Bombyx mori: one gene and its partners. The protein of the gene in region 1 purifies or fractionates together with the protein of each later gene. This does not show direct contact. Links are inferred from orthologs where the notes say so. Each region holds a gene or a part of one and is shown on either strand. Other genes may lie near its edges.

What was found.
Region 2: the proteins of mediator of RNA polymerase II transcription subunit 19 (region 1) and putative RNA polymerase II subunit B1 CTD phosphatase RPAP2 purify together in Homo sapiens (affinity purification with mass spectrometry; 3 studies listed by BioGRID and IntAct, with this or other methods). This does not show direct contact. The link is inferred for Bombyx mori from reciprocal best matches to the Homo sapiens genes MED19 and RPAP2.
Region 3: the proteins of mediator of RNA polymerase II transcription subunit 19 (region 1) and DNA-directed RNA polymerase II subunit RPB7 purify together in Homo sapiens (affinity purification with mass spectrometry; 3 studies listed by BioGRID and IntAct, with this or other methods). This does not show direct contact. The link is inferred for Bombyx mori from reciprocal best matches to the Homo sapiens genes MED19 and POLR2G.

The regions. Positions count from the first base shown.
Region 1 is NC_085116.1:16,049,544-16,060,426, forward strand, and holds mediator of RNA polymerase II transcription subunit 19, read right to left. Parts: upstream 6,391-10,883; 5' UTR 5,866-6,390; coding exon 5,685-5,865; intron 5,599-5,684; coding exon 5,227-5,598; intron 4,706-5,226; coding exon 4,545-4,705; 3' UTR 2,985-4,544; downstream 1-2,984. UniProt on the Homo sapiens protein: Component of the Mediator complex, a coactivator involved in the regulated transcription of nearly all RNA polymerase II-dependent genes.
Region 2 is NC_085121.1:1,513,570-1,523,925, reverse strand, and holds putative RNA polymerase II subunit B1 CTD phosphatase RPAP2, read right to left. Parts: upstream 2,599-10,356; coding exon 796-2,598; 3' UTR 644-795; downstream 1-643. Other genes in the region: uncharacterized protein LOC101736188, read left to right, coding at 2,881-2,883, 6,557-6,706, 7,233-7,318.
Region 3 is NC_085131.1:4,001,886-4,012,765, reverse strand, and holds DNA-directed RNA polymerase II subunit RPB7, read right to left. Parts: upstream 5,627-10,880; 5' UTR 5,468-5,626; coding exon 5,456-5,467; intron 5,378-5,455; coding exon 5,268-5,377; intron 4,449-5,267; coding exon 4,289-4,448; intron 3,448-4,288; coding exon 3,397-3,447; intron 3,172-3,396; coding exon 3,034-3,171; intron 2,468-3,033; coding exon 2,417-2,467; 3' UTR 2,282-2,416; downstream 1-2,281. Other genes in the region: small GTP binding protein RAB8, read left to right, coding at 6,123-6,246, 6,480-6,540, 7,558-7,762, 8,193-8,333. UniProt on the Homo sapiens protein: Core component of RNA polymerase II (Pol II), a DNA-dependent RNA polymerase which synthesizes mRNA precursors and many functional non-coding RNAs using the four ribonucleoside triphosphates as substrates.

The DNA of each region.
Region 1 (10,883 bases):
GATTCTTTATGACCCAAACTGCACGGACAAAATAATTCTACTACAGTAAATATTATTGATGTATGAAAAACTTGAGTACGTATTTAATGGTTCAAATGAAATAGTGTTACTGGCCAACCCTAATGATTTTTTTTTAAATTTGTAATTTGCAATTAAGTTTGGCTGATTGTCCTTTTAATAGGATATTCTCAGTGACGTATGTGCCATGCGCGACAGACGTAAGAGTAAGTGTATGTGAGTAAAGCATTCTATTGCGAGGTTATAGACGTTGTGTATCGTAGTTATTGTAAAAATATTTTTTTTTTTTTTATAACGTTTTGATTTGGTATTCAAAACAATCGATGAAAGATTAACCTTTTGCATCTCCGTTTTAATAGATTAAGAATAATAAGATAGTCAGTTGGTACTAATGTTTACACGATTTAAATAAATATTAATTTCAAAGTGAACGATTGTGTATATTACGTAAATGTAGATTATCTCAGATAAAATTTAAACGACATTAAGCGATATCACTTAAAAATTAAAACTTAATTTATTTTACAGCCCCATCATATAAGTGTCAAAGTTAAAGTGGTATAATCATTATAAATTTTGGTGTTGCCCACCTCGTGAACATAATGTGTAGTCTTATTTTTTAAGTACGAATATTATTTGTAAAGTTGTATGTATTATGGTGCTGCGCATTACTAATTTATTACGTTTTTTTTTTTTGTTGTTTAATTTAGGATTGACCAATTGTCTCCGAAGCGAACAGATATATGTATAAATTTTGAATTATTTTAAAATAAAGTATGCTGTGGAATCATTTGTTTTTTTTTTGTTTGAGTTTTTTTAATGTTTTTTTTTTATTGCCTTTGTAGGCAGACGAGCATACGGCCCACCTGATGGTGAGTGGTTACCGTCGCTCATGGACTTCAGCATACCAAGGGCAGAGCCAAGCCGCTGCTTATCGCTTAATATTCTCCACAAGCCTCGTTTGAAGAAGGACATGTCATAGCGCTCGGGAAACACCGTGGAGGGGAGGGGATGTGTGATAAAATAATAACATCTACTGTCATAACTTTATACTACGAAGCTAGAAGTCATTTCACGTTGGTGTTAATAACAATTTTTTAAATCACGTTTTCGTTAAGTCCCACTATGCGTACAATGTGAAATGGAAGTAAGAAGTTTGATTTTCATTTTGTTGAGTCTTCATAAGTATTATCGTTAATAAACAATTTTGAATCCAACCAAGACGTTATAACCCGGCTATCATTATTGAATGCATAATATACAATACTTATTGTGGCCGATTTTGAAAATAAATCCTATTTTATTGATTCCAACTAATTCCAAGCACAACAGAAATTGAATCTGGAATTGGCAGTTTCATAATATTTTTTTAGGCTTCCGCATGGAGGGTATAGGTAAGGAGCACCATCTTGTCTTTTTTTATTGCTTAGGTGGGTGGACGAGCTCACAGCCCACCTGGTGTTAAGTGGTTACTGAAGCCCATAGACATCTACAACGTAGACGCGCCACCCATCCTGAGATACAAGTTCCAAAGTCTCAGTATAGTTACAACGGCTGCTCCACCCTTCAAACCGAAATCACGGCAGAAATAGGCAGGGCGGTGGTACTTATCCGCGCGGACTCACAAGTGGTCCACCAGGTCCACCACCAGTAATTACGCAAATTATAATTTTGCAGGTTTGATTTTTATTACACGATGTTATTCCTTCACCGTGGAAGTCAATCGTGAACATTTGAGTCGGTCTATTATCAAAGCCGGCAATGTGACTTTTGGACAATTATTGGTAAACCAGAAAAACGAATTATTGACTTTGTATTCCATTGGCAGTCGCAAAACTCTTCTGAACGACATCTTAGATAAATAACAGGTTAAGTATTAACCTTTATTTAATGCAGGTTTTGAACCGTATTCTTTTAAGGAGACGATTATATTCAAATCAATCTGTATTGACATATCATTAACATTTTTTTGTCCAAATACACAGATTGCCACCTTTGATAATAGACGACTCATTTGTTGAGTACATATTTCATTAGAAAAATTGGTACCCGCCTGCGGGATTCGAACACCGGTGCATCACTACACACGAATGCACCGGACGTCTTATCCTTTAGGCCACGACAACTTCAAGTTTACTCGAGTAATCCATATGAATCTATAATATTTATATATTTTTTAAATAATTTACATATTTATAATATTTAAATCAATAATAATAATTTAATAATTCAAATAATTTAATAGGTAGAAATGAAATGTAAACAGAAAGTAATTTTAATTCAAAGATAATGTTGGTTTAAAGCATAATAATTGAAGCTGAAGTGGTTCCTCCATATTTTTCTTTTCGAATACACTAAATACTGAGTTGGTATAATAAATAAATAAATAACTATATAATTTTTTGGCAAAAGTGGCAGAGATTTAATAAACTGCATCATATAAGTTAAAATAATACCTTACCTAAGCACTAATCACGCGTCGGTGCAGATTCGTAGGTACAATATAAATGCATTAAAAAACATTAATAGTACAGGTTCCTTATCCGCAGATTAAAAATATGCGACCCAATTCCTATGTTCGCTGCTAAAGATTTCTTTATTCGTGGATTTAATCGATACATACACATTGATAAAAAGGATTAGAATATGTAGGTATCCAACATAATATCCTTTGTAAAAGTACTTTTCCATGTTCACGGAACGCTTGCCCCGCGAATAAGGAGCTTTTAGTGTATAGTAAAGTTCGTCAATAACTGCTACACAAACAAAAAACTCTTAACAACCACTTAGTAAAGGGACATTTAAAGAAAAACCATTAGGTACGGTACCATATTTTTTTGTAATCTAGATCTTATCAATGGTTACTGAACAAAAAAAGGACAGAAACAGAAAATAAAATGGCGCTCAACTGTTTACTGTAGAGGTCATTCCAGCCTTAAATGCTTAAAGATAAATAAAACCAAAAATTTAAATAATGTCTTTCTATCAAATTTTATTTCTATAAGGGTGGTAAAAAGAAAACAAAATTATCAATTACACTATCAGGTTAACAGGACATTATATTGATGCCGAAGCAAATTTTAAAGAACATAGTCCTACCACTAAATATGTAATTCTTAAAATTTCAATTTCATTTATTCCTAAAATTTGCTTCAGAAAATTTTAGAGATTTCTGCAATATTTTTTCGTCTGCAGCTACCTACACAGGTGTGTTTTATTGTATTCTAAATAATAATAAAAAAAAACATTAAATTTAGCTTAACTTGGTAAACAGAACGATTTTCTTATAACAAATTCTTAAATATTAATTAAATACATTACTTTGAGTCGAGCCCAAAGAGATGGAAGAGACCTCATGGAATTCAACAGTAACAATATTTTTGTTTTAATGTCACTCTGTGGGCAATTCGCTCAGAAATTTAATTCTTAATTAGTAATATTTTTTAATAAATTCCTAATGTTTGCATTAGAAACATTTGAGAATGATGTGATTATTCTTTCAAAGTGGTCAACTTAACACAATGTTGCTTGCCATCATGGCATTTTAACTCTATTAGGTAACTTAGCATAACAAAATCTTATTAAATCTACCATGCAATCGAACCTGTTGAAAGCCAAGTAGAAGTTACTAGAAATCTTAAGTTCAGAATCAAAAGTAATTACTATGAAGTAAAGATAATAAATTAGCTATAAGTTTAAAACATTGCCTGACTAGCAATTTTAGGTATTTCATAAAAACAAAAGTCTTGCAAACCTCATTTTTCTTATTATGGTTTAAAATGTGATAAAAAACTTCGTTTTTTCTTCATTTTATGGACATATACACCCCATTGAATAATGAAGAAATATAGATTCAGATAAATCTACTCTTTTTTTTATTTTATTGCTTAGATGGGTGGATGTAACATAAATGCAATGGTCTCAAGTATAGTTACAACAGCTGCCCCATTCTTCAAACCGAAACTTATTACTTCGGCAGAAATAGGCGGGCTGGTAGTAGCTACTCATGCGGACTCACAAGAGGTCCTACCACCAGTAATGACGCAAATTATAATTTTGCAGGTTTGACTTTTATTACAATGTTATTCCTTCACTGTGGATGTCAATCGTGAACATTTGTCAAGTATGTATTTCATTAAAAGAATTGGTACTTGCCTGGGATTCGAACACCAGTGCATCGCTTAACACGAATGCACCAGACGTCTTATCCTTTAGGCCACAACCAATTGTATGTTATTCTTCTTGTGTTATTATACCATTCAACCAATTGAGGAAAACTTTCCACTTTAATGAAATGTTAACAACATTCCATCGTATTACAATCAACTTATGATAGATAGCACGTGTAGTTTCAACAAATGAGTGCCGTTCATACATTTAGTCATATGCACAACAAAGTGTAGAGGTACATTTCACTAGTAATGGAATATCACTAGAACACAATGAATTACTAATTTTTAGTCATCTTTAGTACAATACTCTCTTTGGGCTCATTATTCGACTTAAACCTACTTGTACACTTATATTTACGGTAATGGATGTTGGTTTGGTGTAAGGCCTCCATGCTCAGGGCTGTGTTTTTGCTTTTTTCTCTTTTTCTCTTTTTTTCTCTTCTTTCGTTCTTTCTCATCGTCATGACGTTTTTGCTTCTTATGCTTTTTCTCATATGTGTCTGGATTTGATGAATCTAGAATAATAGATATGTTTTATATTAAAACTCAAGACAAAAATGGAGTATAAATAATATAACTTATAAAGCAATTTAAAAAGTATCACTTGACATCTAAAGTTAAATGAAATCATTGTGGCCTAAAGAATAAGACGCCTGGTGCATTCATATTGAGTGATGCGACTGTGTTAGTGTTGGAATCCCGCAGATAAGTACCATTTTTCCTTATGAAATATGTACTTGACAAATGTTCACAATTGACTTCCACAGTGAAGGACAGTGTTGTAAACAGACTCACTAAAAATAATTGATAGGGTGTCTTCTGAGCCCGCACGGGTTAGTACCACAAAATGTAAAATGCAGAGTACAATTACACTGCAATTCAAATACTGTCTTAACTAGATTAATGTAGTCAAAGTGCCTGGAAGACTCACCTAGACCTAAATAGCATCTACAGGTGGCTAATTTGTAATATTGTCTACAAGCTTGGGACATAGCTAAATCTATTAAATCAATGTTGTTGAGTTCTGAGTTCTTACCTTGTAAAGGTGTCTCTTGCCCAGGAGGTGCACCATCTTTATGCTTATGTTTCTTATGTTTGCTTTTATGTCGCTTTGGTGGTGTTGCACTCACATATCTGTACTGCTCAGGAAGTGGGCCAGGGTGTAATCGAAAACCTGCCAACTGAGCACTAGTTAATGGCAGTAATTCTTTACCACCAATTGGTCTCTTAGCTATAACTGAACTTAGAGTACTGTTATCGTCCTGCCCAGGTCCGTCAACGATGCCCGGCAGGTTCGGAAGGAAAGATGATAGGGATTCCTTCAGCTTTTTGCCATTAAACTTACTGTAAGAATGTACAAGTCCATAGTAGGCCATTAAATTTGTAGCGCCTGTCAGTTCACATTCTCCTGTAAAAGAAATCGTCGAAGTCACTTCCTGAATATAATTATTTAAGAATTTGAGAAGAGAATGTTAAAGAGTTGGAGATACTGACCCGGGGGTTCTTTCATCAAATAGAATGGTCCGCTGTGCACTATAGACGGGTTTTTGCCTAAGGATATAGTAGTTTTGAGTGTACCAGAAGAATCTTGGCGAGAGACGACTGGTGACCTCGCACCCCTCGGCGACGATTTTGGCGAATATGGTTCTACTTTCCTAAACTGATCAGACATCATCTTGGATGACCATTATCTACGAAACGAACTTAAATAAATTAAATACTCTAAACAAAATCACAAAAAATTAAAAAGACCTTCCCTACTCCCAAGCTTTTGACAACTCTAAAAAATAAAAGTAGGAACAATGTTGCAACACTTTTTTTTTAAGGGAACTGAGACCTTTAAGTCATGTCTTATTTTAATTTATATTCAATTTTTATGAAAAATAATATTATGGAGTGAAATAATGAAGACGACTAATTTGAGATATTAATCAACGGGATGAAATTAAATGAAATGAAATGGGATGAAATATAATCTCAGTAAAATGGTGGTCATTTACTAAGATTTTTTCAGTGGACTTTTTGGAGGATCCCGAGAAGTTACGTCCAGCGGCTTTGTTTCATTTTTCCACATTTGCGCACTTTCACAGATATTAAACACTTAATAAACCACCATTATTACACATTTAAACCCGAAGAAACACTAAATAGACAAAATAAAACAAATCACACAACTTCACTCCTCACGTTCCCGCCAAAAAGTCCTGTTGCAACACTAGCTTTGTAACTCCCACAGACTCTAATATTGTTATTTAAAGAAAATCATAACAATAGGTACATGGTTTTGTTGGTTCTCAAGAAATTTATATTTAAATTAAATACTAGCAATTCTCAAATTAAAATAGCAACTGTCTAATTAAAATAGACTTGTTTTGAATTAGTTGAAATAGTCTATTATAGTTCTGACACATAAGCACTTGGAGCTTCCGTGATAATTTTGTATGGAAAATGAATTGTGATGTCTATGAGCTTTGAAAACACTTTAAAACTGGTCCAATGGTGTTGGAGTTTGAATATGTAAGTAATGGCAGGTAACACTTGACACATGTAAGGTTACAGTTTTCGAATATTGAAATGCTTATTTAAATATTTAAAACAGATGAGTCTTCTCTTGAGTGAGGACAATGGCTTCTCTTCTAGACACGGACTATGCAACATCTTAGGGTTTTATAAAATAAAATATTGTAATGGTGTTATATATTAACCATGAAGCAGAGTGTTTTTAAATAGCCCCTCACCTACAGAACCCAGTCCTCTCAAATTTAACCGTCCAACAAAAGGTCTCGGTAACAGGTCATACAATCTTTAAAAAATCCACTAAACAAGAAAGCATGAGCTCATTCAAACTTTGAAGCAGTAAAAAAATCAAACATTCTTATTGAAACAAATGCTTAGGCTTTTTTTTTTGTTTAAGTCGTCCTGGCTTAAACTATAAGACGTCCGTAGGCTTAGTGCGAGTTTCAAAAATCGAATCGAATGACTCGCATCGAGTGTACGCTCTTCACGGTGAAACGTGCGGAGCTCTGAGTGCGAGTTACTTGATTTGCAGGACGTTTATTCATTTTGAAAAGCGATATTTTTTTCTTTTATATTGGTAGCACGCAAGGTTTTTTTTAAGGCGTTTAATTGAAATGCCAAGCTTTCTAACGATATTTATAATTAGTCGGGTAATGGGTAATGTACCTGTGCTTAGTGCAAGTTTTTTTAATTACTCAGTCGATGTTAATGTTATGTTTATTTTGTGTGAGGTTGTATCAGTGCCACCTAGTGGTAAGCTTATGAATCTCATTTTGTGGGAGAGAGAAGGTTTGTTTATGTTGCTGTCTCATGTATCAAATAGCTTTACCGAAGTGAGCCTCTCGATTATTGTATGTGCGAGTGCGAGTTGCAAATTAATGGATTTTGAGAGTATTTCTTCACTTTCAAGCAAGTTAAGTAGTCACTAAAATTTTTGCCGTGAAAGCAATATAATATCAAGATTTTTTCTTTCGTTTTTAATAATAATGTTGTTTTTGAAGGTTTTATCTATTCTAATGGTTTATACACATATATTTTTTCGGTTAGAAAATTTTATAGACGTCTAGCTAGTTGTAAATACATATTAATTCTTTGCTTTTTCATTTAATTCTTATTAAATCATTGCTTTTTTTTAAAGAGATGTTTGATGAGAGAGAGAGAGTGAGATAGAGTATTCTTTATTGTACACAAAATGAATAAATATTGCGAAACATTCTTGGTCTTATCGCTAAGAGTGATCTCTTCCAGACAACCATTAGATGGGCAAGAATAATTTCGAAATGAATTGCACACTGTGTACCTATCTATTATAGAAATATATATACACACCCGCACGCACACACGCACACACACACACACACACCCACACACACACACACACACACACACACATACACACACGCACGCGCGCGCGCAATATACATATTTACAGGTACATACGTACAGATTTATATTTTTAAATTATATAGAAATTTGAACAATGTAATAATAATTTTGCTTCTTTACACATTTATAAATAAGGATGGATGCTCGTAATAATTTTAGTATATTTGGGCCACCTAATGAAGATCATATTATCATACTATTACCGTAAATACAATCATTTTATAAACGTTCAACGGGTAAATGATTAAACCTATGTAAAACATAATTTCTTTAATTAAAAAAAGCTGAAATAATTACCTATTCCAAGATTAATTATGTTAAGTATGTCTAAATATGTAATTACAATTAAATAAATTCTATAACAAACTTCTAATTCTAATACTTCTATTAAAGTTACTAAAAAAATATGTTTATGCTGGGCAGTTTTCGTGTATTTTAAAGGTTACGCCATTACGGCAAAGTTTGTTTACGAAATTGTACCCTTAGAATGGAAGTGGTATAACTAAAAAATTTAAGATTAGTTTTATATTTCAAAACACTTATGTATTATTATTAAGAACCTACATTTTAAGTAGGTAATACGTGAAGCAAAAATGTTGTACTCCTTTTAACGAAAATTGCGCGGACGGAGAAGTATGAAATTTCCCACACTTATAGAGAATATAGAGAAGTAGTGCAGATTGCTAATTTTTTTTTTTTAATTGTGCATAAACAATAAAAAAATTAACTAAATGAATAAAAAAACCTTACACACATTACCATGTATTTGACACACACACACACACATGCATTTATACTTTTTTTGTTTATTGATTTATCAATCTGTGGTCAAATTGAGAATAGATTAATATTTTTTGTCTTTAATATTATTTTTCTATAATGTAGCCTTGGCGACATAGAGCAATGATTATTATAGAAATGATGATAATAGAAAGGTGACAATAGAACTATAATAATGTTCAAACTTAAAATTTAAATAAATTATGGTCAAATTTCGACCACTGGACTACCATTAGTAGATAATAATAAAATCATTTATTGCCTTTCACACAGATTTAGATTATTACAGGCAGCCTACAAGGAAACAACAAAAAAACAAAACACTATTATATCATTTCTGGCAAGCAGCTCAACATTTGCACTTGTATATTATTAATAGGAATTTTATTAAGAATATTGACAATTTATGAGGAATTTGACAAGTACGGATTAGTTATAGATATATGTATTTACATGTTGTAAATTAAATTAGTTTTATAAGTGCAATAAAAATAAAATTTTATGATAAAATGATAAAGCCATACCTTTTTCCAATGTGACGATTAGAGGGTATCCTATTATTCTTTTCTATATTATTCTATCAGCTTATAAAATTAAACAGTCTCTTTTAGTCTAGAAAAGGACAAAGTACTCTTTCTGTCTTTTTCAAATAAAATGGCATGCCTTAAAGTTTTTAAACCGAAAAACTTAAAAAATACAATTATTCTATTACAATATTGAAGTTTACCAGAAACTAAGAATTTTGGGTTGAGCCACTTTAATTCTAAAGGTACAAAATAGTATTGAACACGTGACATTACCCGAATAATTTTGAAAGTAGTAGGTTCCCATTAAAATGCTGTTAAAATGCGTTGTATTTCATTTAGACGGTCTAATGCCAAAACATCACGTGCTACCAATATACGAGAAATAATATTATTGCTGCTCTCGGTGAATAAACGCCCTGCGAAGCGAGTAGCATATCTCAACTCACACTCACAATTCTTAATTTTTCACCGTATAGAACGTAAACTCGATTTGATTTTGATTTATTCATTTACAATTGAACAACTAGGAAAAAAAAATTAAAAGACATTTTGGAGGGACCGCGAGGAGCTAAATTGTGTGAATTGTTTTATTTTGTCTATTTATTGTTTCTTAGTTAATGCGTATTTAATATTTCTTCGTGTATAAGTGTAATTTTGAGACCGTCCTGGCCTAAAGGTTAAGGCGTCCGGTGTATTCGTATCTTGCAATGCACCGGTGTTCTAATCCCGCCGGCGGGTATCAATTTTTCTAATGAAATACGTACTTATCAAATGTTTACGATTGACTTTCACTGTAAAGGAATAGCATCATGTAATAAAAATCAAACCCGCAAAATTAATTTTTGTAATTACTGGTGGTAGGACGTCTTGTGGGTCCGCACGGGTAGGTATCACCACCCTGCCTATTTTTGCCGTGAAGCAGTAATGCGTTTAGGTTTGAAGGGTGGGACAACCGTTGTAACTATACTGAGACCTTAGAACTAATATCTCAAGGTGGGAGGCGGCATTTGCGTTGTAGATGTCTATGGGCTCCGGTAACCACTTAAGATTAGGTGGGCCGGGAGCTCGTCCACCCATCTATGCAATAACAAAGTAACGTGGGTTTATTAACTGTTTAGTATCTGTGAAAGTGCGAAAATTTTAAAAAATTAGACAAAACCGCTGGACGTAGCTTCTCGAAGTCTTCGAAAAGGTCCACTGAAAAAAATCTCAGTATATAATCAGCATTTTGCAGAGATTATATTTTATCCCATATTATCTGATCTCATTTCATTGCATTCCATGCCAATTGATTAATGCTTCAAATTAATCAAATCCATTTCACTCCATATTATCATTTTTCATAAAAAAAGATTAGGCTTTATGGCATGATACTTTTGCCTCTCTAGTTGGAAAAATAGAACTACTAAAGAAATACTCGATCGAAACGTTAAAACCCACTAATTTGTAACACGCACTCGCACAAATGTCATTCGTGGTACTC
Region 2 (10,356 bases), on another chromosome or scaffold:
CCAGTGAGCTCACTTACTCGTCCGCGCGTAACTGGAATCGTCCCTTAGGCTACCAGTGAATAGGTAGGTAAAAGAAACTAATTCAAATAAGTAGAGAAAAAATATTAAAACTTAGCAAAATTAGTATATCCAGGTTTTTATTGCTAGAATCTCATGACTCAAGTAGCACAATGGCATCTAAATTTGTAATGTTTATGGGGTCCAGTAACTGTTGAAGTTATATATACTTCTTTAGGCGCGTTATGAAAAATTGATGAGAGTGAAATTTTACGATGCGCGCGCACCGTGACACAAAATTAACAGAATGAAGTTGCCCACTAAATCTACCGACGTAATTTGGCGGGTCTGAATATAGCCGCAGGTGAACTTTCGCGCATGTACACTCGTAAAAAGAAGTGTTATCAGCATTATTTTTTGTAATATAAATGACAAAATTATTATTTAATATAATTCATACTAAATATTATTAAATTATTAACGTTAAATATTTATTATTAATTATTTAATATCTAAAAAAAAAGGGAATAAATTTAATAAAAATAAAGTATAACTTCTTACGAGCGTACATAAGTACACGAACCCTTTTTTTATACTGGCTGAGTTGTGAGCTTCTGCATTATCAATGCAATAAAAATTTTGCGAGTTTATTGATAAATATTACTCTGGCAAGTTTATATTCCATGAAACTAAAACAACAATATTTTGAATTAAAAAAAAGTGTTTTGAACAAAACAAGTATTTACAATCTAAAATATCACAAGTTACATTAATGTTACAGTAAGATTATGCATACAATCATTCTATAGCACAGTGACTGTTTGTATTCAATAATCTATCAACATCGGTCAGCCAAAATATTAGTCTATCTAAATAGCCATTATCTTGTTTGTAACTCAAGAGTAACAACTGAATATGTTGGTATGCCATTGGTTGCTCCAATAAGTGTGCCAAGTGTACATCTCTTAATGATAGAAGTTTTATAAATATTATGGTAATCATAGTCCACTGAATCGGCTTAAACATTATATTATTTGCTTTCAATTTGAATGTGTTTACCAAAAGACGCACCTCTGTGCTTATGGCCAAACTTAATAAACCTAGGCACCTCAAGATGTCCGGTAGGGTCTTATTTAAATGTTGACAGACTATTCGTCTACGTAATGCATTTTGAGAATTCTTGTCTACTAATGGCAAAGCTGTGAAGTTCTCATCTGATTGTGTGTTCTTTTCTTCAGGCTCTGGTTCAGGTATTTCAGTTTGACCAGCAAAAAACGCCTTTACTTTCAATTGTATTTTCTTGCTTTCTTCCTGTAGTATAGTGTAATCTGGCAGCGGTTTCATTTCCCTTTGCATTGTTTTGGCATCATAACGTTTGTCTTCTAATTCGAGCATATTAAGTTTTCTGCATAAAGCTTGGTATTGATCATAGGCTGTGGAATTGTAGAATGTACCTTTTGTAAAATTTTTCAGATATTCTTTCACACTGTCTTCTTTATCTGATACCATTTCTCTCACTTTCTCTTCGCCATAGAGAAAAATTAATGTGTCTAAAGTAAACCATTCTGCTAGACATTTTTCCACTTCTACAATTAATACAGTCACTAATGGCTTTTTCTCTTTCTTTTTTTCTTGAGATAGAGATGAGCTTGCGTTATTTTGTTCATCCTTTGCACTTAGTAAAGTCAAATCAATTTTCTTCTCAGGTTTTTCTATGATATCTCCGACAATGTTCATTGGATTGTATACTGCTTTTTTCATTTTATCAGTATTTTCAGACTTCACTGATACAGGACAAGATTTTTCCTGTAGATACTTTTGTGTTTGAACAGAATTTGATTCTGAATTTAAGATATAGGATTTCCCTTCTGATGCTTTATTTACGCTGTCTTTATGCTTCATTTCTTTTTCATCCAGTTCAGTACTTTCTGTACTTAATTTAAAGTTTTGTTCATTTTGCTCCTCAGTAGCTTTATTATATACATCATCTTTACCATTATTTGATGCCATATCTCTAAGAGTAGCTTTTACAAAACCATTGGTAACTACGAAAGGCTTGTTTTCAAGTTCTACTTTCACTCTGTCAATTATTGACACATCAATCTCCTGTCCCATGCAACCATCTGCCGAATTCATTGGTAATAAATTAAATTGTGGGATTATCTCATATTCTCTAAACCAAAGCGGGCTTGTTAGCATCTGCTTTTTAATGTGCATGGCAGATTTATAACAACTATTACTGCAAAAGCTTTTTCTAACTGTAATATCATATACTTTGTTCGTTTTCATGGAGATTCGGTATTTTTGCTTCGGTATGTCTTTCTTGGATAATGTGTTCGAGCAGAGCGGGTAACCACATAGACTTATGATTGATCGTTCTTCAATAACATCTTCGAAATGAGACTGGTTTAGGTCTGGTAAGCATTTGAGGAAATAAACTTCGTTTATGCTATTTTCTAGAAAACTTTCAACTATATGTTGCGCTTTTGAGTTACACTCTCGTTTCTTAATTATCGCTTGTTGAATTTGTTCTTTCGTGAGGTCTTCTATTGTTGTAGGTTTTTTTTTAGGAGGCTTCACGTTTGTTTCCATTTTATTCATAAAATTGTTATTTTTATTTCAGATCAGAACCATAGTTATTTTTTTTGGTACAATTTTTCCTTATTAGGAAAGGCAAAAGGATCTAAGCCCATAAGCCTTGTCTGTTCCATGAACCGTAGATAATACACTTAATATATTATGTTAATTCCATGGAGTTAATAAGTACCTACAACGTTAATTCACACAATGCTTTTTCTTTCATGTTAGCAAAAGTCAGATGTCAATTTCATTTCACTCAGAAACTCAGAACTCAGGTTGGGAGTAGGTTACGTGTCTAAATCTATGGTTAGTATTAGATTTTTTTTAAATTGGATTGGGTCCTAGACATGCATAGATTATGTAAATGGAATAGACTGAACTGATTTCCTCAACATATTCTGGTACTATTATTTACCCTGTGCATTATTAATGGCGGTCTGGTTAGTCGTCTCTCAAGGTTAAGCTTTATTTACTAGTTCCTCAGTCCGTCGGACACGTCAGTAAATCTTAAGTCTTTTAATCCACAATTCCGGTAACCATAATGATTTAATTATGAAATCATCAAGTTGTAACCGTTTTATTTTTGATTGCCTTATGCTGAAGCAATTTTAAAATCTATATCAGTAGATGGGATACAGCTCGCCTACTGCTGAATAGTTTTCATATATAGACTAAAGTATGAATGAACTCACGTGGAAATATTAAGCCGAATTGTTTATTTCGAAACGGTTCTTCAACTATTCAGAATAATTCGAAAAGCTTTGGTTTTGTTTGTTTGATTTATCTGTTCCGCTCGGCTGGACAATATCTGTCCGAAACTATAAGCCTACAAAGTTATTACGGATTGGACTGGCGTCGTTTAAGCGTTGGACATGATATTATTTAATAAAACTATTAAGATCCAGGATATACATTAACGGATCAGTAGTATAGTACTAGACAATACTTGCGTACTAGGTACACACATCCATAATGATCCATAGTATTTTAGTCTAGTATTTATTAACAGACTTGTCTATTTGACAATTCATTTGTATGATTTGTATTTTGTATTAATTAGAAATTGCTCTCAGACTCGTCAGTTAGGCTTTAATTTGGTATACAATTTAAAATCATAATTTATAGTCAGATGCAATATTTGTAGCTGACCCAAAAGTGGGTGAAAAAAATTAAGTTTCAAAAGATAAGAGCGCGCCTGTTATGATAAAGTTATTTACTTTTATTTTTAAAATTATCAATGAGTTAGATAACGTTGTTGGTGTCGAACGATATGAAAATTGCATTTGGTAAATAGAAATGGAACGCAGCAATTTGAAGTGGACAATACAGTTTAATTGATAAGTAGTAGGTAAGTGCTACGAACACTGAATCATATTTAAAATTATTTTGAATGTAATGAACTAGAGTCCTTATTGATACCTGTATTTTAAAGCGCTTAAACAAAAATGCATAATTTTTTTTTTTTTAAACTTACAAAAACTTGGTATTCATATGCCAGTCTTATTTTAGTTACAATGTTCTATACTAGTTTTATTTTTATTGCCCTTGTAGGCAGACGAGCATACGGCCCACCTGATGGTGAGTGGTTACCGTCGCCCATGGACTTCAGAAATGCCAGGGGCAGATTCAAGCCGCTGCCCACCGCTAAACTATACTAGTGCTTCACTTAATAAAATTGTGAATTAAGAACATTAAGGATTTTTCCTACTTACAAAGTAATGACTAATGTGAATAATTATTTCTTAATTATGTAATTAAACCAACAAATATTCACTTCACCAGATCCACTAGAATTTCTCCTATTTGATAATATTTACTTATGAAGATTTAGCTTAACAGGCTCTAATTTATTCATAGAAATACGATTATAAAATATATAAAGCAAAACATAAAGCCCTACTTTAAAAACTAGTATATATTGAGAAGTTGAAGCCTAAAATAGAATATAACACAAAGGACCCAAATGGTACATCCCAGTTCATATTACACATATATTAGTTTAAATTTTAAAACATTGAGCGCTACTATAAACATAATTTTCACATTCAATATAAAAATAAACTATTTAAAATTTAAGTATAAACATACTGGAATTTAAAAATCAATCCATAAATATACAATACTCAAATCACCCAGTATGAGTTTATGTAAGAGTGGCCCCAATTTTTGTTTTGTTTTGTAATTGGTGGTTTTCTTAGTCTTTATTAACCAAAAAATCATGGCATTCCATTTTATAATCTTGGTTAATTTAAAAATCCTGATTCTGAATGACTTCATAGCATTGGAAGAATAGCCACTCTATCCTCTCCTCACATTATGTTGATAGTGGCTGAAACAGCTAGGAGAGTGCTAGGAAACTCTGCTGACATGCAATAAATGGTTTATTCTAAGTTCTGCAAATATTGCTGATGTTAAAGACTATTGGTAAACTGAATGCATCCATGTTTACCTATGGCTGTATTAAAAATAAATTCAAACTGAAGAATTGACAAGACAATCACATGAATCATATCAATCACAATGGCCTGTGATTAGTATACAAAATTTGGTCAACATTTTATGAAAGATAACTGTCCATTGTTCCCAGTATTGTTTTAAATTAGATTCTATAAACTAAAAATAGTATAATACAAGGCTTAATACTATCATTCAGCTGCTTGAGAACTACTGTAAGTGATTTTAGTGTGATTCAGTATTTTTAAACAAAATTTGCTATTAAGTGAAAATATTACCCATATTTCTCCTATGGTACTTAAAAATAATAATAAAAAATCCTCATATTGATTTAAGTAAAATAGATAACCTTTTTAAAAAAAAATCTGATTTGAATTATTTTGGATTTGCTATCTGTGCACACACACGCAATAGCCGCTAGAGTCTGATTTGCTTATTTAAAGGGTAAATTTACATTGACATTGAAATATACAACTCTGATGTACATATTTACTTAAGTAAACATTTGAAGAACTGGGTGCTTTATGTCTAATTGCATCTTAGATTTAAGGTATCTTATTTATTTAGAAATTTTATTAAATTATAAGAATTTAGAACAAGAAACACGCAAAACTTATAGAGCTCTATTAAAGAACTGAGTAGTGTGTTCTAATACAAATCAAACAAACAATAAAGCTTCAAAATTTTCTGAGATACTTCTTCTGTTTTAAATGAATTTTATCATTATTTCTTTAAAATCTCACAAATTCATCAGTCTCAAAATATGATTTCCAATTATGTACTATGGATATCGAAAACTGATGTATAATTATATCAATATAATATATAAATTAAAAATGTGTATCAACACCCAGTGACCCAGACAACAAAATTGTTCATCACATGAATGTTTGCTCAAAGTGTGAATCGAGCCATGACCAGCAGTCAGGGTTGCTGTTCACTGCTTCACCAGTTGAGTAGAATGAAGTTAGAATAAATTACTGTTCGACTATAGTAAAAAATATGAAGTTGGCTTTCAAATACCATTTTCCCATCCATCATCATCATCATCATAGTACACCCACTCATTACGGATCCTCCCGATCAATTAACGGTGCTTTTAGATACCACAAGCGCCGGTCACCGTCCTCGTCGAACCCGTCGCTTGCGACGAAGGGCTCGACGAGCGAATTGATCCATAGACACAGCCCACTGAGTTTCTCGCCGGATCTTTTCAGTGGGTCGCGTTTCCGATTCTGCGAAGCATTGCTCTTGCTAGGCATGTGTTAGCATCATTCCGGTTTGAGCCCCGTGAAATAGCTTCTCAAGGCAATCTGCTTAGGTAAAAAAAAACACCCACTTTATTTCTTAGGGTTTGTGAGTCTTTTTTTTTCTTAATATTAGTACTTAATTTGAACCCTGGCTATCTTTCATTCTGATACCCAGCAAGGGTCTCCGCTTCGGCGATATAAAGTGTAGGCTACGCTGTAAAGCTACGGCGGAAACAACTTTAAAAAAAGTGAACACCTCTCACTGATTACTCTAGAGAAAAACCGCTAAGATGCACATGTGGATGTGGTTCGGTTACGACCTCGGAGACTTCCTGTTCTCCGGCCTAATCATCAGCACGCGGTGGGCGTTCGCCCTAACCTGGATCGCGCTGTTCTTTGTGGCACTCCTGTTCGAAGGTTCCAAGGTACGGACAAAGCTTTTAGATCTTGTCTTTTTTTTTTATTGTTTAGATGGGTGGACGAGCTCACAGCCCACCTTGTGTTAAGTGGTTACTGGAGCCCATAGACATCTAAAACGTAAATGCGCCACCCATCTTGAGATATAAGTTCTAAGGTCTCAAGTATAGTTACAACGGCTGCCCTACCCTTCAAGCCGAAACGCATTGCTGCTTCACGGCAGAAATAGGCAGGGTGGTGGTACCTACCCGCGCGGACTCACAAGAGGTCCTACCACCAGTAAGTCCCTCTTAGTAAGCGAATACATTGTAATGAAACGCCAGAGTGTGAAATTTAATATCAAAGATTATTGAACTAGCCGTTCATATTGAACTAATTTCAAAATAAAATTATATGAATATGGCCACTTTCGCTTAATTTATTAAGTAAGGAAAGTTAAATGAATTGACGACAGGGAAGTCGTCCGAGAATTTAGGATTTAATTCGTGTTAATTTCAATAAGTCAAAAGTTTTATAGTGTTTCAAATATTTCAGGTTTACCTAGCCAAAGTGCAGCGCGAGGCACACAACAAACTGTACCCATATAGATCGGATGAAAGACGAAACCTTCTTTGCGACAGGTAATTCTATTTAACAATAGATACTCCCGATCAAAACGGCGTTAGATTTCTGACGAATATGCAGTCCAGTGAGTTTCGCGCCGGGTATTCTAAGTGGGTCGCGATTTCGATCCGGGGATAGATTCTGCGAAGCACTCCCCTTGCTAGGTCTAGTGTTAGCAAATTCTCTTAGGTTGAGTCCATGAGCTCACCCATCCGTCCGATTGTAGTTGGAATAGCCCCTTAGGCTGCCAGCGAATAGGTAGGGGGGAAAAAATGACCATGCAAAATTGCGTTTTATTAGCTTCAGGTACGTTTGGTTTTCGTATAGAATACTATTGTGATCTCGTTATCGAATTGAGAGATTGTGTTCTGTGTGCTTAGTGCGAGTTTTTTAACGTTCTCGATAGCGTAAAAGTTAACTCAAAGTATGGAGTTGGAACAGCGCCCCTACCGGCAAACTTAGGCAAACGTTCCAACTCCATACAAATTTAAGTTCACTTTTACGCTATCGAGAGCATTAAAAACACACTATCACAATTGCGGTATCTATGGGCTACAGTAACCACATCGCATTGGTTGTCAAAAAATAGTTTAATGAAAAAAAACGTGTGAAATTAAAAAAGGTCTATATTTGGTTATCATAATGAGTTATCTATATATTAATACGTGAAGCAAAAACTTTGTATCCCTTTTTACGAAAATTCCGCGGACGGAGGAGTATGAAATTTTCCACACTTATAGAGAATATAGAGAAGAAGTACACAATGCTAATATTTTTTTTAAATAATGCATAAAAGATACATTAAATCAATAAAAAAAACATCACACACACTACATACCATGTATTTGACGCACACACGCATGCGTCATACTATTTATTGTCAAACTTTTGTTCTTGACGTCTGTGGTCAAATTGAGAATAGATTAAACATTGTTTGTCTTTGTTAATATTTTTTATAGTGTAGTCTTGGCGAAATTTGCGATTATAGAAGTTTAAAATACAATCATAATAGTGTACAAACTTACAATTCCAATTGATTATAGTCGAATTTCGACTACTGCGGGACCTCTAGTAATCAAATAAATAACTGGGAACAAATTACGCACGGTCGTCCGGTCCCAAATTAGTATTCCCTGTGTTATGGGTATCAGAGGCTGACATACATATTTACGTTTAAATAAATACATATACATATAGATAATAATCATCCAGACAAAGAGCAAACAAACATGTTTATCAAAATTTTGTTTGCCCGATGCGGGAATTGAACCCACGATCATCGGCGCAACAGTTAGAGGTCGCTAACTACTGTACTATCGAGTCAATCATAGTTAAAAAGTAAAAGTATTATACATAATATATGTATTTTAAAGCTAAACCTTTTGTTTTTTATTAACTTTATTCGATACATTACATCGAGGTCAGTCGGTTTAATTTATTCTAGATCGGGCGTTGTCCGGAACTTGGTATAATGCACGGAAAAATTGTAATTCTATTAGTTTTGTGAAAGTTTGAAACGAAACTAGGTTGGGCGGACTCGTTTAGTTCAGTGCGTTAGTAACACAGAGCGACCTCATTCCTCCAGTTGGTAGGAGACTTTCAACTGTTTGACTACTGAACATCAGACGAAATGGTTCAAATCTATGCAATTACCTCAAGCACCGGTCACCGTTCACGTCGAAGCTTGCGACTCAGGGTTCAGTGAGTAAATTAACCTATAGACACAGCCCACTGAGTTTATAGTCTGATTTTCTCAGTGAGTCGCATTTCCGATCCGGTGGTAGATTCAGCGAAGCACTGCTCTTGCTAGGGCTAGTGTTAGCAACGTCGTCAGGTTTGCGCCGCGAGAGCTCACCTACTCGTTCGATTACGCTGGCATAGCCTCTCAAGGCTTACCAGCTTAGGTAGGGTAAAAAAAACCTTAAATACATGATTTAAGGTTGGTTACAGTTTTGTTTATGTCGGACATTACGTCTCAATGCCCTTGAGGCGGTATTTCGAACCTTAATTATATTGGAATGTCATTGCCCCACAGCTTACATCCTTTATAATATTAATAGCGGTCATGGCCGTTCGCGCCCATACACTTTTACTAATCGAACTAGTTCATGCCACGGCTGTTCAAAATACGTAGTAAAAGTTAATTGAGTTATTAAACAAACGATACACATTCGACGTCAGTAAATTTAAGAATTTATCCTGTGTTACAGGTTTAATCTGCGTTATAAGTTTCTCCTGTGTACAAAATCCTAACTAGTCTAGCTTAAAATCAGAGTAAACTAAAATATGGCATATGGGAAAGTGTACACAGAAAAGAGATTTATTACTTTTGTTTGACACATGTAGAGAAAATTAATATCCGAGCGCTATTTTTAGTTTATCTTTGCCGTGTTCACCGACAGAGGTTAACAGATTTTTTTTTTTTTTATTGCTTACATGTCCCGAATAGCATAGAATTTAAATTTTATTGATAAATAAGGCTTATAATTTAAAATATTGTTCATTAAAATGACATTACGAGTTCGTCACAAGCTTAAATCACGAAAGCTTCAAAAACGGTAAACTAATGCGCGGAAAATTTAAAACTGCATTTAAAACATTCGGTTTTGTCGTTTGCAAATCGATTCTACTTTGATTTCTTATAAGTCTACAACTAGGAAATTCAGTATTATTTACGACTTTGCAAACTATGATCAAAGCAATAACTATAAAAAACATCCATATCATTTGAAGCTTTGCCCAAGGATGAGGCTCATGTTAAGGATTTTTTCTTTTGAAATGATTACGTCCACAATTTTTGAAATCAAATTGAGCGTAACTCAATCTACGATAACAATCATATCATCAACTCTATCTTTATAGTTGATCTGTAATAAATAGTGAATTTTTCGCTTGAACTACACAAGTATATTATTATGTTTATTGTTGAAATAAAATAAGTAATTATTATTGTAATAAAAGATCACATTAGTTGTTTATCGAGCCATAGTTCTGATCATACATGATTAAGATCGTGTGATATTTGCCGCATTTTAATATTATATTATATTATTTT
Region 3 (10,880 bases), on another chromosome or scaffold:
GATCTATGGTATTTCTTTTTAAAACATCGATATTGTAATGAATGTATCGAATGATACTAAACTATACAAAATAATATCGATAACTTGGTGTTTAGCTGAGCCTGACCCACTATACTAACTACATCTTAAATAGTGCGTATTCGATTTAAGTATTCTAATTAAATTATACACTTCAAAAATTTGGTGTGTGTCACAAATTCCCATAATTTTTACCCTATGACTATTTGAAGCCCCAGAAATAAAAATATTAAGAGAAAATAAGTATTTAAATAGTTTACTGAAGTGAACTAAACGATCTCTTGTTTTTTCATTATTATCAATGCTCCCAACGATATACATAGTACTAATTGAATGTGACATTGTGGATTTACTTTTGAAAATGTTTCGATTACAAACATGTATAAATGTCGTTGTTCAATAAGATGAATTGCTTTAAATTCTATAATAGTTCCCATCTTGTTTCGTGCCTTGTATAAAGCTGAAATATGTTGAATTATGTGTGTTTTCTACAAGTCGAAATTGTTGATGGAAATAATAAGATTTCCCTAACTTGTTGGCACACAACAATGCAGTTTCATCTTGCAGAACACATATATTTTCCAACAGACATGTAAGCTTTTTCAGTGATCATTTGTGTGCAAATTTTATTGTAAATGCAAAATAAATATTCATTGTTTTAAAACGATCGACTCTTATAAAATATAATCGTGTTTTATGCACAATGTTATATCTCAAATATTTATTGTAGAAAACAATTAGATATTTATGATTCGATCATAGGATATGATCGACCCACTCGGGTTGAATATATTTAATATTATAAAAAAATATATTATATTATGATAAAATAAAGTGTGAGGTTAGAAAAGAAAAATAAATACTGTACTTGAAAGGTAAGTTAAGTGAACATTAGGTAAATTACATTAGGCTTCAATAAAAGTTTGTTTTTGAATTGAATTGAATTGAACTTTAAATTAAATTCAAAATGTGTTTTTATGTAATAGATTTGTGTATGTTCTAAGTCCTGATATTTATTTTAACAAATATTTTTTCGGGTCTACTCCGAATGACTTGTTTCATATTGACAAAAAATCGTATTACTGTGTACCTAGGTAATTGGTATTGATCAATTTTAAATCAATCAATATAAACGACGACTGGCAATAAGGTAATCTCTGAAATTATGTAATTTGAATAGTTTATTATTGTATAGTGAGAATAATAATTGCTTTTAAACCTAAAACCATTTTAGTCCAATATAATTGTATGTACTCTGATTTTCTTAATTGATGCATTCTATATTTACATGCAAATTCATTTGGTGCTTTATTTGACACAGATATATAGGCTTGTGTCTGATCTCAAAACTGAGTATTATTTTCGTTAGATGCCATACGAATAATACGTAGTATTCAATTCACTATTTCATTAGTTATACTAATATTTGCACAGCCGATTCGCAATTAAATGGAATAACTGGTGTCTCTTGTGAAAAAACCCTATAACAAATACCAGCAGCGTTATGGCTAACCATAACAACCATACAAATAGATTTATCTTTTATAGATGTCTATGGGCTCCAGTAACCACTTAACACCAGGTGGGCTGTGAGCTCGTCCACACATCTAAGCAATAAAAAATAAAAAAAATATCAGTCTCGCAAAAAATATCAGTTATTTCGTCTCATAGGCGACTAGTAGAATACAATTAAAATATAAATTTGTACATAGGCAATTGGTACACCAAAGACATTAACACTTTCGATAATATTTTATTATCGATTTAACTAAATACAATTATCGATTATATTCGATATTGATTATTCGATTATTATACATAAGTGATTATTTATATAGTTATGAAAAATTTACTGATTGACTTTGAAAAAATATTATAATAATCTGAAATAATGCGAAAGTGGCAAATTAGCTTTTCCTGCTTACTTACTAGAGTTATGACAGTTTGTGATTCAATGTAATCATAGTTCTAATTTTTTCAACTTTGGAAATCCTCTGTTCGATATACTGTATTCAATTTCTATAATTTTGTTATTCTATTTTCCTTATATGGTTACTCATACAGTCAAACGCTCAATTGTAAATCTTAATAATGTATCAATTTTTATTATTATTTCAAACCACCATGAACACTGCCCAAATAGACTGAGTGTCCAAATATTGAACTTCGTTTTTATGTATGTTTTTGTTATTGTGTATGTTTTGAAGGTTTTTTATAATAGATAATTCGATTATTTTTTTGAATGCCAAATAAAAGAAAAAAGTATGAAAATATCGTTTTATTTCATTGTACTCATTTAATTCTTAAGACTATGAATATTCCTAACGTTAAAAATTGAGGCGTGGTAGTTCAATCCTTCGCATAACGTGTTCTGTAATTGTGTTACATAAATTTCAAGTTATTGTGGTACTAATCCCAAATAGTCTCCAATTAAAGTCCCGATTGCAAACTGTAAAACAAAATTTTCGACATTTTGTTAATGATCTAATATTAAATATTATTATTTTAGACATTACATACCTGTTTTACATTGATTATAAATTTATGTACGAAACTTTGAAATTTAATAGAAATGTGTCTATTAGTGCGTATTCGCATATGCTTATCGTTAAAAATATTTTTGATGTCGATTGGCAACACTGATAGTAATAATGTAGAACTCTTGTGATTTACAATATACATTTAGGGAAAACTATGAAAAAATTGTCCAGAATTCGACATTATGTTTAGCTTTTGAATTAAATAAATTTCATTTCAAACTTTTTTTGCACCTTTTCAAAAATAAATGTCAGTAATAAAAACAAAAAGATTGTTTTTTTTTTCAAAGCAGAATCTGTGACACCTTACAATATAACACATGACTTAATAGCAATTGTGACTATTTTATTATTTTTTTATTGCACGACCAACTTATGTTGAAAGTAAATGGAGGACTGATTAGTTTTCTACTATATACTTATATACAAATATTCCATCATGGATATTTTAAACATAATTATTAAAACAATGTCTTACAATGCCACTCGCGTCAACCCTCGTACCAACAATCTTTAATCGGATCACATCCTCTTCTTGTATTACGCTATCCTCTTGTTTACTCTTATAACATGGAGGATTTACATTAGGACAGAACTCCATATAGTCTGGTATTGACTGTAAAATAAAAATATTTTTATAATTTCATTTTATGGTACAAAAATTTGTAAACCTTTCTGGGTTATAAAATATTATTTGGTAGTATAAGACAAAGGGAAGATCTTTCACCAAACGGGTGTAATTGGTAGATGGGCTGAGGGGCTCAATATTTTTAGGAAGGAATACTCTTGATAATTTTAAAATAATTTAAGCTTAATTATATAATTCACTCTGAATACTCACATGATGGGATATAAAACATTTGAGAGGTCCTATTTGCGCAAACATGCCAACCTAAAAACATTAAACATAGTAAATTTACAATTTTAATTACGACTTGATGTGGCTGTGCCCTTGGCATTACTGACATGAACGATAGTTACTACTTGCCATCAGATAAGTTGTAAGAGGGCCTGACAACAACGGTATTAAAAAAATTATGGGCGGAAAACCTTGTAAGTGGCTCTTTAAATTAAATTTGATTTATTTTACTTAATAAAAGAGACATTTTAGTATACACCTATCCCCTATTTATACTGAAGATATATCAGTTACAAAACAGTGTAAAATAAAATCTTTATTTGTGCTATTTGAAAGCATGTAAAATAAACTTCCGCTACTACTACAGCACTAATATTTTTTTCAATTGCTTTTTCATGATCTACTTTCTGTTTGGTTACATATTAAAGGTATATAATTCACTTAATGCATGTGACATACCACAATACAGAGACTAGTACATTATTGCATCAGTGTTGCCAAATTAATGAGACCCAATAATGTTAATATGCAACCAATGTATACATTTTCATAAATTTACATAATGTGAAAAAGCCAAAATCAAGTATAATAGGTACCGTATAAATAGGGGGTAGGTGTTACTAAAGTAAACTGTTGATTTATAAATGGTGGTACTAAAACAGCATACTCTAGATTAATTACAGGGTGAAGGAAACTTTTTCTGAAAATATAACCGCAATATAATAAAACTAACTTATAATATTTGTTATTTTGTAAGTTTCTATTTGTGATTAATTTCACTTTGTTAGGAATTACCAGTTCTACTATCTTACTTCAGAAAAGATTCCAACTCACCCGAAATAACATTAAGCATAATTTTAATAGTTTAAGTCACCTTGTTTACTTGTGTGACAATACCATCTAAAACTTCTCCTTTGAATGGTCTGAACACAACAGCTTTGTATTTAACAGGGTACATGACAAACCCTTGTCCATGTTGTATGAGACCAGCTCCGATATTGTCTATTTGAGTTACCGCGATGACAAATCCATATCTAAAAATGTTTTGCTTTTCACTGTATTTTGTTCACAAATTGCACAATAAATTCAGAGAACAGTTAGTTAAATATGTAATGGCAGTAAGGCAATATTTGAGCTTTTTTCAGTGAATACCAACCACCCTCTAGTTTATTTTTGCCACAAAGCAATCCTTCATTCCAGTTTGAAGTGTGGTAAAGGAGTTTGGAATGCCATTGAGATATCAACTCAATTTATCATTAAGTGATATTATACATTGATGTTGCTATAATAATTATACATTGATATTATAATTGTTATGGGCTCAGATAACCACTTTTTAACAATTGTTCCATAAATCATGAAATAATTTATCTAGAGCCAGGTTTCCTAATGTTTTTTTTTTTTATTGCTTAGATGATTGCTAACGGGATCAGTTTAGCAAATTTTAAAATTGGTAAGTGTTTTGTATTAATAGGAAAAAAACTAGAGAAAGGGTTTTGTAAAAGTGATTTTGCTATGGGCTATGGAAATAGTTTGGGCATCCCAGATCTAGAATAATAAATATAAAAAGCAAAAGTTACTGTCAGTTCCTGTTTAAGCCTATTTCAGACCTTATTTTCTATTCATGTAACACTTGTGAGTAGAGTGCGACTTCTGAGCAGCAGCTGCAGGGAAGACAGTTCATTCCAGTATTTATTTCCGATATTAAAGATGAAAAGTATTTTATACACTCCATAGTTACAGAAATAAATATAATGTGGAAATTAGCGAAGCGTTACTCACATCGCAATCAAGTCGCTAGGTCTTGTTCGAACATAACTCAGTGGGCCTACGGCCAATTAATACCGACTTACTTGCCAGTACAGGTGCCTTCCACATCAGTGTATAGCTTCTGTTTGACTGTCTCCAATAGTTGTGGACCGAAATATTTCGGATGTAACAAAATTTCGTGCTCCAATGAAATCTGAAAAGTTTTATTTACAAAACGAATGCATTGGCGTTCATTTTAAACAGAGTGAAACAGGAAAATAAAATATCATACGTGGTAGAACATTTTTCAGCGGTGGACAAATTACGATTAGTATTCCATTCAATTAGATTTGTTTTATTGTTATTTTTTAGTAATATACATAAACAGCATCAACTCTCAACACTGCATGCTAATTTTAAATTTTAAACCAAATTGAAAATTGAGTCATGTCAACAGTCAATGTCATTATTTTTCCTTTAATTTGAGCATTGGACAGGCAGAAGGAATGTAACTTAAACGGCTAAATGCAAATTTTGTTATTGTTGTACTAGTAACGTGGATTGCATTATTAACAAACGAGCAACGACCTCTCGATATTTTCGTTTAGTCATAAATTAGAAGTAGTTGCTAAAAATACCAAATCATAAATAAACACATAATCAACACTTTTCACCTAGCACAAAAAATTAAAAAAAAATCAAATATCAATTACTTATAATCATAAACAAACTTCCTTATTTATAGTTCATATAAATAAATTTAAGTTACAAATATTTTTTACATAATTTATGTAAATAAATGTTTATTTTTTCAATTTAACTATTATTAAAAAAATCAGTATCTCATGTGACTAATTTACTATAGAAAATTAAAATTCGTTTCACATCACTAGTGGAGATTGAAAAATGCCAAATGAATGGCAGGCTATGTGTATTAGCGTAATCAGATTGTTGTAAAAATGGCAAAAACTTACGATTGTTTATTCAAATTACTTCTAATCGGAGATTCGGGAGTGGGAAAAACATCAATACTATTTAGATTTTCTGAAGATGCATTTAACATCTCCTTTATATCCACAATTGGTAAGTGGTTTCTTCAGATCAAAAGTGTCAGTGAAGAATTTTTTTGTACACTTATTGTAGGTAATGGAAGTGTTTTTTGTTTCCTATTCATTGTTTCATTTTTTAAATACATGATGATCAGGGCGCGGCCTTTATAACGAAACCCTTATTAATTTAAAGGACACTAGAATTAATGACATCATACTCACTAATTTTAATTAGTCCCTCCAGTTTCAATGGGTTTTTGTTTCCAGGTATCGACTTTAAAATTCGAACAATAGACCTTGATGGCAAAAAAGTTAAATTACAAATATGGTGAGTTTTATTCTTTAACAAAAGATTATCATATTTGGATTAAAGAAATTTAAAAGTTGTTTCATTGTTATTTTTACTGTAGATTTATGTATTAAAATTATATTTTACATGTTCATTATCAGTATGTAAGTAATAATCAATGAATTAATGTACATTATAGTTTGTCTCACATTGCATATTTAATCTTCTTACATTATTTTTTTTGGTAATTAATTTGAATCACTGGATTATTGTATTACAATAATACAAAATTTAAATTGTAAATTACCATTTTTTAAATTAGTACTTATTTAAATTTAGTGTATCACAAAGTAATACAATGAAGAATGGTGAAAAATAATACTAGTGGTAAATCATATTGTTGAACCCACCAAGGCTAATACCACCATAAAAGTAAAAGCCTACTTTTGACACAAAGAAGTCATGCTTTCTTTTTTGAATGGTGGGACATCATTCAAACATTATTCATGTTTTGATTTCTATTTGCTCTGGTAACTTACAGGACTGGCTTTTAAGTTTTTTTGTCAGCTTGCAAAGAAAGAAGAACATAATAATTCAATCTTAACATAAATTCCTAAAAGTTTTTTGGGAATTTGTCAAAGTTGATATAGTATATAATAGGCTTTTCATAAATAAATAGTCTTTATTAATATTTCATGACAACTTTATGAATAATTGTTTTAAGAGTATGTTTTGTTCAATATGCATGCATGTATTAAGTGTGTATGAGTTGTCTGAATCTTGTATGAGTTGATCCAACTAATGAAATAAATGATGCAACATATAATAGTACAGTAACATTAGTTAACAATAATATTTTAACAGCTTCATTTTTTCACACAATTAAATGAGAATTTTGGTTGAATTTTCTAATACACTGTCAATAGATTGTTGCTGCTTGATTGATGTGTAATTAAATCTCAACGTTCATTTACTCACCATATTTATGTAATTTTGGTTCAAATGTTATCTGCCTAACAGAATCAAAACATTAAGTCAATTTCTATATCATTTTAGGGATACTGCTGGTCAAGAGAGATTCCGTACAATAACAACAGCATACTACCGTGGTTCTATGGGAATTATGCTTGTCTACGATGTTACGAATGAGAAGAGCTTTGAAAACATTAAGAATTGGATTAGGAACATTGAAGAGAATGCCAGTGCTGATGTTGAGAAAATGATACTTGGAAATAAGTGTGACTTAGATTCTCAAAGACAGGTGGATAAATGAGTCGTCTATTATCAAAGGCGGCAATCTGTACATTTGGACAAAAATTTTTTATTGATATGTCAATACAGATTTATTTGAATATAATCGTCTCCTTCAAAGAATACGGTTCAAAACCTGCATTAAATAAAGGTTAATAGTTAACCTGTTATTTATCTAAGATGTCGTTCCGAAGAGTTTTGTGACTGCCAATGGAATACAAAGTCAATAATTCGTTTTTCTGATTTACCAATCATTGTCCAAAAGTCAGATTGCCGCCTTTGATAATAGTCGACTCAAATAGAGTTGATTTAAAATTCTTATGTTAATGATTATAACTGAGTAAACATAATCATTTCTACAAATTCATTTATGATACTAATAAGAACATAACATCGCTTATTTGTGCTAATATAATTATGGTTCTCAATGTATTGTACAGGTATCAAAGGAGCGAGGTGAACAATTAGCCATAGAATATCAGATAAAATTTGTGGAGACATCAGCAAAAGACTCGTTAAATGTTGAATATGCATTTTACACTTTAGCCAGGGACATAAAAGCGAAAATGGAAAAGAAACAGGTATTTATGCAAAATTTCAATTTAATTGTAATAATAAATTAGTCTGTTTTATCACAATATTGCGTGAAGGTCATTTTCATGAATGTCTATTCCCGCATCCCACTCTGAGCTAATTTTATGACAGTTAATGACACATTATGTGTTTAGTATGACTACATTTCCTTTATAACCTCCGTTGGTGGTATGATTAAGAGATTGAAAAGCAATTGTCTCATGTACAGTTAAAAACGGACAGACATGTTAATAATTAAGACTTTCACAACAACTAAAAGCCGTGAATACACTGAGCGTTTGATCTCAACTGTAATTAGAGACTTATAAAGTATCATTAAGTTGATAAATCATAAATTGATAATCCATACAATTTTAAAAGTTGCCATTAAAAAATAAACTTTAGTTATCTAAGATTCTGTTGCTTGCAGTAGTATTCAATTATGGTTACAATAATATTACCAAATAAATTAAAATCAGGTAAATAAAAAAAAAACAGGAAATTTTATGTGCATACAGTAGTGAAATAATATACCTAATGATCTATGTATAATGACTAAATATCTTTTGAACGTTTGATTTCACCATGGAATTGGTAACCTTGAGATCAAATTAAAATGCAAAAAGTCAAGAATTACCATATTTTCCATGGGCGTTATAAAATACGACTTAAGGAAGCTATCTCAGTATACTCTGAAAATTACCCGTGCAGTGTTAAATAACCAGCAAGCAACCATACTAGTGTTGCGGTGTTTTGTGAAACTGCACAGGGAAGTGACACCATTATGCCTACTTCTGGCGCAAAACAAATATGCGTTCCCGTTCGAGAAGTTCTAGTTTTAATGCGATACAATAGAGAGGACCATTCCGTGTCTCAAAATGGGCGGTACCATTCACATAGTGCCCCTTATAGCTAGTAGATAGAACAATAAACCAGGGATCCCGTGTATGCCAGTAATAATAAAATCTAATCTTAGTACTTTGTTTGTTTCATGGCCGCTTTTCGAAATCCAGAAGGTAAAATATACTTTTAAACATTTACTCGTGTTGTGTTTTTGTATGATTATTGTTTTGTTTGCCTGTTTTTTATGAGATTCGATATTGTTAGTAGTTTTGTAGAAAAAAACATAAAAAAGCATGCATTTCGTTTTAATGCTGAATTGTAATCATGCTTTCAATAGTAATTTATTACTACTCATAAATTAAAACATTGTTTTTTTTACAATACTACGTTTGTAGTGCTGCCAAAATGATGATAGCAATTTGATAGAAGCCTGATAGATGCTTTTGATAGAAAAAAAATAGAAGACATTCAATGCTTAGTGACAGAAGTCTAAATACAAACGCGGATACTTTTGTGTTAATTAGTAGCCCGAAGCCTTAAAAAAAAGTAAACAAACTGCTTCCAAGTCTAAAAATGCATCGATCTGTGGGCGTCTATGAACATTTTTGTTTTTTACAAATTAGGTAAAGGTATACATAATAATATAATTGCCGTGAAAACTTTACATTAGATGTCTAAACGCAACTACTTTACGTATGACGTCACTTGGGGCCAAAATGTATGTCTAACCACTTATAATAATACACGAATACTTGCTATATATATTTTTTTCCCTCTCTAATACTTTACATACAACTTTAAAATCTCTAGAATTAATAACTCCTCCATCTTGATCCCTATAACAATATTAGATGTAGGTAATTTGATTTGGAATAATAATGCATAGGTATGTACCTAGTTTAAAAATAACGGTAATATAACAACGACCCGAAGTAAAAATTAATTACTTTTTTTATACTGTTAATACACTACACTACTACAGACATTAGAGCAAAGTTATAAAACCGTCAGTTCCTTGATGCATGTGCAGATTTTCAAGTTAATCGGACTTCTTGAAGTCTGCGAGAATGACGTTCAAAGATTGCATACATACATACAGACCAAGTTAATAAAAGCTAGTTAAAAACTAATATATCACAATAAGTATTGGATTGGAATACTAGTTTAAATTTAATTATGAACTAAATTGTTCGATAGTTCAGTTATTGGTGTGTGTATTGTAATTAATTATAAAACCATCATTCTTTGTGCCTTAACACGGTCAGCTTGTCTTACTCACCATTTCCGTTATCAATGAAGCATCCCCATACATTTAACTTTGTGACTCAGTACTCAGATAGAATAACGATTAGTGCTTGCTGTTTTTATAGTATGCAATAACATACCTAAAAGCCTTTGTTTCATTGTGGATTCCATAGCTAATGTTTAAATACTCAGTAGGCAAAGGGAGAGCTAGAGTTGGGTTTTTTTTTTATTGCTTTAGTTGGGTGGACGAGCTCCCAGCCCACCTGGTGTTAAGCGGCTACTGGAGCCCATGGACATCTACAACGTAAATGCGCCACCCACCTTGAGATATAAGTTCTAAAATCTCAGTATAGTTACAACGGCTGCCCCACCCTTCAAACCGAAAAGCATTACTGCTTCACGGCAGAAATAGGCAGGGCGGTGGTACCTACCCGCGCGGACTCACAAGAGGTCCTACCACCAGTAAA